Linked DNA regions of Arabidopsis thaliana. The protein of the gene in region 1 interacts with the protein of each later gene in a biochemical or structural test. Each region holds a gene or a part of one and is shown on either strand. Other genes may lie near its edges.

Region 1 (3,757 bases):
CGTCATCTTCAATTCATCGGCCGCCACTGCAAAAGAGGGAGGAACATCTCTAGGAATTTGTTCTCGTTTGTCTTCTTGCTCTAGTATTTCTACACATAGTCGGCCTTTGAGAGAATGCTTGCATTGCTCCGGGATATTATTACATTCAACCGCCATAGTGGCTTGTTTTGCGATCATGAGTGCGGTTCTACCTTCCAAAGTTGCTTCTGATGCACTTGCACCTTTTTCCAATAGAGATAGTATCAATTGTGGCTCCTTCCGCATCGCAGCAACATGAAGCACCGTATATCCCCTCGGATTCCTATGGTTGACATCGGCAAGATCAAGTTTTAAAAGATCTGTTGCGGTCTTCACATTGCAATATGCAACAGCGAAATGAAGAGCACACGCATCATCTAGATTGGTGTGATCCTCTTTCAAAAGCAACTTGACTAACTCAATATCATCCGAGTCAAGTGCCTTATGTACATTCGAGACATGTTTCTTTACTTTAGGTACCTCCAAACCAAGCTCTTTACGTCTATCAATTATCTCTTTAACAAGCTCTTCCGGCAATGACTTTTCAAGACTAACCATATCTACATTAGACTTGACAATAATCTCTTTACATCTATCCAATAGCTTCATACAAGCTTTACCACATATATTAGCAAGCTTGAGTATAACCAATGTGTCCTCTATAACAACTTTGTCTACAACGTCCAATAAGTGCCTCTGAAATACAAATACAAGTACTCAAGTAAGAACATATTCATGAATGTGTAACCATAGCTTAATGCAGATGGTGTTTTACCTGATAGAGAGTAATTAATTCAGGGATCTTGAAGATGAAAGCCAAATAGAGAACCTCCAACATGAAATCCACCGCCGGCCGGCAAGCCACGTGGCAGCAATTCTCGTCTGCGCATTCAGAAACTCCTTTAGGCGGCGGTCTCACTCTGCTGCTGTAAACATAAGCCAAAACAGTCACAACCGAATCGAAACCGACTTCGTAATCCTTGGCAATCTCCTTAAGCTCGAGCTTCACGGCGGCGGTGTTGTTGGAGTCTTTCTCCTTCTTAGCGGCGGCTAAAGCGCTCTTGAAGAAAGAGCTTCTCGCTGACAAAACGCACCGGTGGAAAGAAACTTCCCGGCCGTCGGAGAGAACAAGCTTAGCGTCGCTGTAGAAATCATCCGGCGAGTCAAAGACGGATTCGAAGCTGTTGGAGAGCAATTGCAGAGCAGATACATCAGGTCCGGTGAGTACTTGTTCGGCGGCCAGATAAACAATAGAGGAGTCGGTGTTATCGGTAGCGACGAAACTAGTGCTGCTGATTTCATAAGAATCGGCGAATCCATCAATGGTGGTGTCCATCAACAGGTTCCGATGAATTGAAATTCACAAATTAAAGAGATCTCTGCTAATCAACGAAGAGACCTTATCAACTGGATTTGGTTAAAGATCGAAGATAACCATTGACGAGCAGAGCCAAGTCAAGTCAACGAGAGTGGTGGTGAGATATGAAGAAGCATCCTCGTCCCACGGTTTACATTTCACCAAAACCGGTAAATTTCCAGGAAAGGAATCTTTGTCAGAGATCTTTTTTAAAAAGATATAACAGGAAGCTAAACCGGTTCGGGTTATAAATGTTAGTATTTATACCGGAGACATTTTGTGTTGCTAATTTTTGTATATGAGAAGTTCAATCCGGTTCGGTAAGCCCCTGAACCAAACTAGATTTGGAGATGATATAAATATATAAAATTTATTTTTCATCCGGTTCGTTATTTTCATATAAATATATAAATATTATTTTTTAAATTTAAGAATTAGATTTACATGTGAAAGTTACATTTCTGTTTATTTTCTTTGAAGTAAAATGATAAAGGGAACGTATATTAAGTTTCATGCTTTATTCACATAAGTTTTGTAATGTATATTATATTTTTCGTTTATTGAAAAAGTAATTTTCAGTGTTCAGCATGTTTACACTATAATTAAATCAAGTCGAATATTTCCTGGAACTATTCTCCTTGTTCTATAGCAAATGAAAACGCTCTTCACAACAAAATCATTATAGATATAGGAATAAATTACATTAAAAACATGAAAGTCATAATGAATATATTTTTTTAATTAGGATTTGATTTAAAAACAATTATTGTATACATATAAAAGACTTCTTTAGTTATTTGCCTTCAACTTCTCGTTCTGAATCATGCGATAAATCAGCTTTTTCAATAACTACGACGTAAAAGCAAATTCATAACACGTCTAAACAAATTTGGCTCATCCTTCACTTGATTGGTGTTTTCCGGACTCGATGTTGCTGGAAACTGAGAAGAAGAAGGAATCTGCATAATCACCTCTTGGTTCCTCACCGGTAGACTCATTTTGTTGGATCGAAAACGATCGAGATCAGAAAATGAAAAGATAGGTTAAAGATGCCTATGAATACAACAACGTAAGATTATGTTGAATAAACAGAGTACTTTATATAGGAGTTATAATAAGGTAAATAAATTATTGCTTTCCGCGTTTTTTACTTTTGTATTTCTTAAATGATAAGTTAAATTAGGATAAGATTTGTATGATTTTAAGTAAATTTACAATAACTCTCTATAACTCAATAGCATCACATATTTAATTAATTTTACTAATTATCTTTTGAACAATTTTATGAAATAGTTTTCTTTTAATTAATTTTTTAAAATGATATATTATAAAATTTAATTGAATCAATCTGATATAATTTTTTTATCTTCTACCATCTATTATAGTTGATAAATATTGTGATAAACTTTAGATAAACACCCAATTGCCAAATATTTAATAAATTTTGTGTACCATGCGTTTTTTTTGGAGAATATATATACGTGGACAGCATACCGTACATATATTGTATAAAAGCTTATAAAACATAGATACGGGTTATATTGGTAAGCTATAAATATATGTAAACAATAGTAAGATATTACGTGTTGTGTCTAAATATGTGTTGCTTTAGATATTATTGTATATCTAATATATTAAAATATCTTTTATTAACTAATATATTATTTAAGAGAGAAAATTGGGACACTATTTTCTATACAGTAACTGTTTTCAACTATAAACAGGAACCCTTGATATAATAAAATAACTAGCCAAAAAATCAGATTAAATATTCATAAAACAATGTTTGGTATTATTACATAAACCTAAGAAACAAAATTCAATATTCCTTTTTACCTTATAAAAAACAATTAAACATCACTAGATATATTTATGCCCCACAATGAGCGAGCCAATTGAGACTTGAGACTTGAGATCCTTGTCAACTACGTTTGCATTTGTCGGCCCATTTTTTTTATTTTTTTTTTAAAGTGTCGGCCCGTTGCTTCTTCCGTTCAGATCAACCCTCTCGTAATCAGAACAAAACGGAAAACAAACGAAAGAACAATCAGATCCCTCTTTTTTTGCATAAACTAAATTCAACTTCTCTGCGTTTATGTTGTAGAGGCAACCACGATCACTACTACGAAACAATACAACGTCGTTGCTTGGAGTCCACGTAATCAAATCTACTCCAATGCTTTTAATATCTTTCACTTTAACCCACGACTTTTCAAAACTGCTCTTTAAAACCCATAACTCGTGAACATCTTCTTGATCTTTGTTTGTCCACTGACGAATAGCACCTAGCTTCCCTTCGTATCTGACTAATCCTGAGAAAACATCAGAGTTCGGAGTATGGAAGAAGGACCAAGTTTCGGTTTTGAGACAAAACCGGATCAC
Region 2 (3,757 bases), on another chromosome or scaffold:
CTCAGAATCAGTCGCGTGAGAATCTATAGCAGAACTCAGCTCCTTCATCTGTCTGTTTTTATCTTCCTGCCATCGTCTGTATTCTACATCAAATGCCATTGCCCCTGTAAAAGAGAAGCATTCATAAAAAATTATCTCACAAGAAAGTGATCAACACCATCAACCAAACTAGTGCTTGCTCTACTTTATAACCAACAAAACTAAAATTTTCAACCACATCATCAATAAATGGTTATGAATTATGATTCAGCTAACTCACCATCTCCAGCGGTAGAATGGGCTTGGTCTCCAGAGCTTGAGATAAAGACACCCTAAGATTAAGAGAAAAATGTTATGTATGCAACAGAGCAAATATCTACACAAATATAGCTGAACAAAGTTAAAACCTGTTGCCGTGCTCTTTGTAGCTCCTGCTCAAGTTGTGTTAGCTTCAATCGACTGTTCTCTAGCTGCTGAACATATGCCTAAAAGTGCAGTAACCAACAAACATCTTAGAGTTTGCAAATAGCTATGCTTGTAAAAAACATAAAAGAATTGAAACTATGAACATAAATCTAAGCATACTTTCTTCCTCAATCTGCTTTTCCTTGCAGCCTCACGGTTTTGAGCGAGCCTACGAAGCGTCTGTTGATTACAACAACAAACAAGAAAAACATAACTGAAAGGCTCAATGACAAAAACCAAACTCTTGCAAAATAGAGATGTTTATATTCACCTTTTGATCCATTTTACTCTTTGAACGGTCACTAGAATCAGAAGCACCGATACCCAAATGCCCTTCATCGAACTGCATAAATACTGTTTTATTTCAAAACTTTGGCCATTTAATGAACATAAAGAAGCAAGACCTAGAAATTTTACAAGCTAACCATTAGGTTATTATGATCAGTGTCTCCATCTGTTGAGACTGATGTTCTTGGACTAGTATCTCCCATTTTTCTTTTTCTTCAAAATCTCTGTTACTAAATCATCAGATAAAAACCGATCCAATCGTGGTACCCTAGATGGAGTAAAGACTGTCAAAAGTAAGATGGTAAACATAAACAAAAGATTAGAGTTATAGAGAAAGAAAACATATTTTTAAGCCAAAAACCAACGCATTAAGTAGAATCAAGAAAGTGGAAACAATGATACGATACATCACCCTATTTATGTCACACTAACATAAAGATCCAAACCACTAAACTTAACACATAGCTGTGAAGCAACCAATGACCTCAAGAACTTTGAGTATTCAAAGCCAGAGAATCAAAGTAAACAATAAGCACGCCTATATGATTTGAAATGAGAACCAACGGACTTCTATAGCGTAAAGCTCTCCGTGAGGTGAAACAGTAACTAATCTGAACATTAGACTGAAGTAGAGCTAAAAGATTCAGAATTTAGCAAACTAGCCCCGGAAACAGAGTAAAAGACACAAAATTCAAGCTTCATAACATCAAATCTCAACCAATTCGTTTAAATAGTGTCCGAAATAATGATTTTGGATCCTTAACACGTACATAAAGCAAAAAGGAAAAAATTCCCTCAAAGGTCAAAATCTTCAATGGAAAAAAACAATCATGAAAGCAGAGGCAGAATAAGAAAACTGAAGAACTAAAACCCCTAAGACTATTGAAGAAGAGACTCACCTGAAAAGAACGGATTCTTTGAGCTTAACCCCAAACAAAAGTTGCTCGGAGAAAAAGCGATTTAGAGAAAGATCCGGAAAATTCCAATCTACAACTGCAAAGACGTGGTCTTTGTCTAAAACCCACAACAGATATAGTATCAATCACCAACAAAGGTTACTACTTTTGTATCTTCCTTCTTTGAGGTATTTTTAGTTGTACGATCTTCTTTTTTTTTATTTTGCCGGTCTCTGAAAAAAAACAGGAATGGAAGACGAAACTCAAGTGATGGTGGACCTCTAGATGCTGAGGGTTAAAAAGTCCTCTGAAAATTGCAACACTCTCTTTTTTCTAAAAACAAAATAATTCTTGGTTTTGACAATGACATGTCCCTTTTTTTATTACAAAAAAATCTATCACACTTACTTTGAATGTAAATTCATTTTCATCATCTCTTGGAAGTTTACATTAGAATCCTCACTAAATAAGATTTAAGACACAAGCGATGAAACTACAAAACTCAAATAGAACATCTTAATATTGTTAAATGATTACAGTACAGAAGTTGCAAGGTTAAAACACCTTTACCACACACAAAAGTAACAAAAAAAAACAAAATTCAATAACCTTTCTAAGATAATCGAAGATGCTATATAAACAACATTGAACTTTTCAAATGCTAAATTAAAAACTGATGACTACAACTAAAACAACATGAATTACCACAACCATGTAGAAGAAACCTACATACAAAGAGTCTTTTGTTTCCCAGAAATTTGCTTATTTGTTGATGGATTTGGTAAGAAGAATCTGACAAGTGTTGATTAATAGTCTCTCCTGGTTTTGTGTCCATATGGATTTTGTACAGCTGACATGTGACCAAAATACAGTTTCACTCTCTGGGTCGAGCAAGCCATAAGGAGCTTAGAGCTCGTAGCCGTGAGAAGTAATCGTGTATTGCAAGTAGAGCACGTGCTGACTGTCTCGTTGTTAATACTCTTATCATCTGTTGCAATGTTTGTAGTCTCAAATTATCAGCCTGCCACCACCAACCAAGAGACGATTATTAACCTATTGATATATATATATACTCTTAACTAAGATATCATCTCAAAACATCACAAGTGTTGTACCTGGCGGATAAATCCTTCGAGTGTACCTAACTTTCCCATTGCCATGGCCATCTGACCCATGTAGCTTGCGACATTCCCTGATGAACTTGAACCAAGAGTCCCGCTCGATAAAGTATCAGCTAGTGACTGTTGTAAGCTCTCCATCCCTTGAGACAAAGCATCTTCAGCCTGCTGCGATGTCTGTTGCAGGTTATTTATGCCCATCAACTGTCTCTCTGTCATTGGCTCCAACTGATTCGCCAGAAGCTGTTTCAACACATTTTTCCCTATGACCATTCTTTTTATGTTCTATGTAGAAACAGATGCAATCGGTGAAGACAAAGTGAAATTTGACCTCACCTTTAGAAGTTCGGATGAACGAAATCCACCGAGCCACAAGAAACATCTCTCAGCTGGTGTTTTCCACATGCCAGATAGCAAGTGAAAGACATCATTCTTAGCTGCATTGCTCTTTATCCTGAAAAGCTCCTCATAGTGAGCCATCACACCATCGACTATTATTCGAAGCTCAGAATCACCTGCATGCGCATTCAGAGCAGACCTCAGCTCGTTCATTTGCTTGTTCTTTTCTTCCAACCACCGTGAATGTTCAGCATCAAACGCCAAAGCACCTGAATTAAAAAATTTATACATGATCAAAACAAACCCATGAGATTCGTCATCTTGTAAATCTAAATCTACACCAGTGCTAATTAGAATAACAGTTTTTGCTATCAGAACCATGTCAGTCTGCCACTGACTCTGATAACCCAGTGTATTGTAATGGGATGAGATATGATGTACTAATTGATCAGTCTACACCAAGTCAACAGGAAGTTGATATATGAACTTAACTTATACACAAATTAGAAGCCAAAAAATAAACATAATTAAAACTAATGGAGAATAAGCAACCAACCATTTCCACCAGTAGAATGGGCCTGGTCTCCTGTGCCTGAAATGAAGACGCCCTAGAAACAAGAAATTTACCGTTAGGTATACAGAATAACAAAATAAAAATCAATAGAAATAAGA

The links. The genes of interacting proteins can lie anywhere in the genome.
Region 2: the proteins of NPR1 (region 1) and OBF5 form a complex in vitro, tested with the Arabidopsis thaliana proteins (2 studies listed by BioGRID).

What each region holds. Positions count from the first base shown.
Region 1 is NC_003070.9:23,854,054-23,857,810, forward strand, and holds the start of NPR1 (regulatory protein (NPR1)), read right to left. Parts: upstream 1,606-3,757; 5' UTR 1,355-1,605; coding exon 794-1,354; intron 715-793; coding exon 1-714. Other genes in the region: AT1G64290 (F-box protein-like protein), read right to left, coding at 3,341-3,757. UniProt on the Arabidopsis thaliana protein: Salicylic acid (SA)-binding substrate-specific adapter of an E3 ubiquitin-protein ligase complex (CUL3-RBX1-BTB) which mediates the ubiquitination and subsequent proteasomal degradation of target proteins.
Region 2 is NC_003076.8:2,152,920-2,156,676, reverse strand, and holds the start of OBF5 (OCS-element binding factor 5), read right to left. Parts: upstream 1,932-3,757; 5' UTR 1,632-1,931; intron 1,017-1,631; exon of another isoform or gene 1,001-1,016; 5' UTR 936-1,000; coding exon 870-935; intron 799-869; exon of another isoform or gene 794-798; coding exon of another isoform or gene 788-793; coding exon 716-787; intron 625-715; coding exon 565-624; intron 465-564; coding exon 387-464; intron 312-386; coding exon 260-311; intron 105-259; coding exon 1-104. Other genes in the region: AHBP-1B (bZIP transcription factor family protein), read right to left, coding at 2,503-2,649, 2,744-2,989, 3,083-3,354, 3,642-3,693.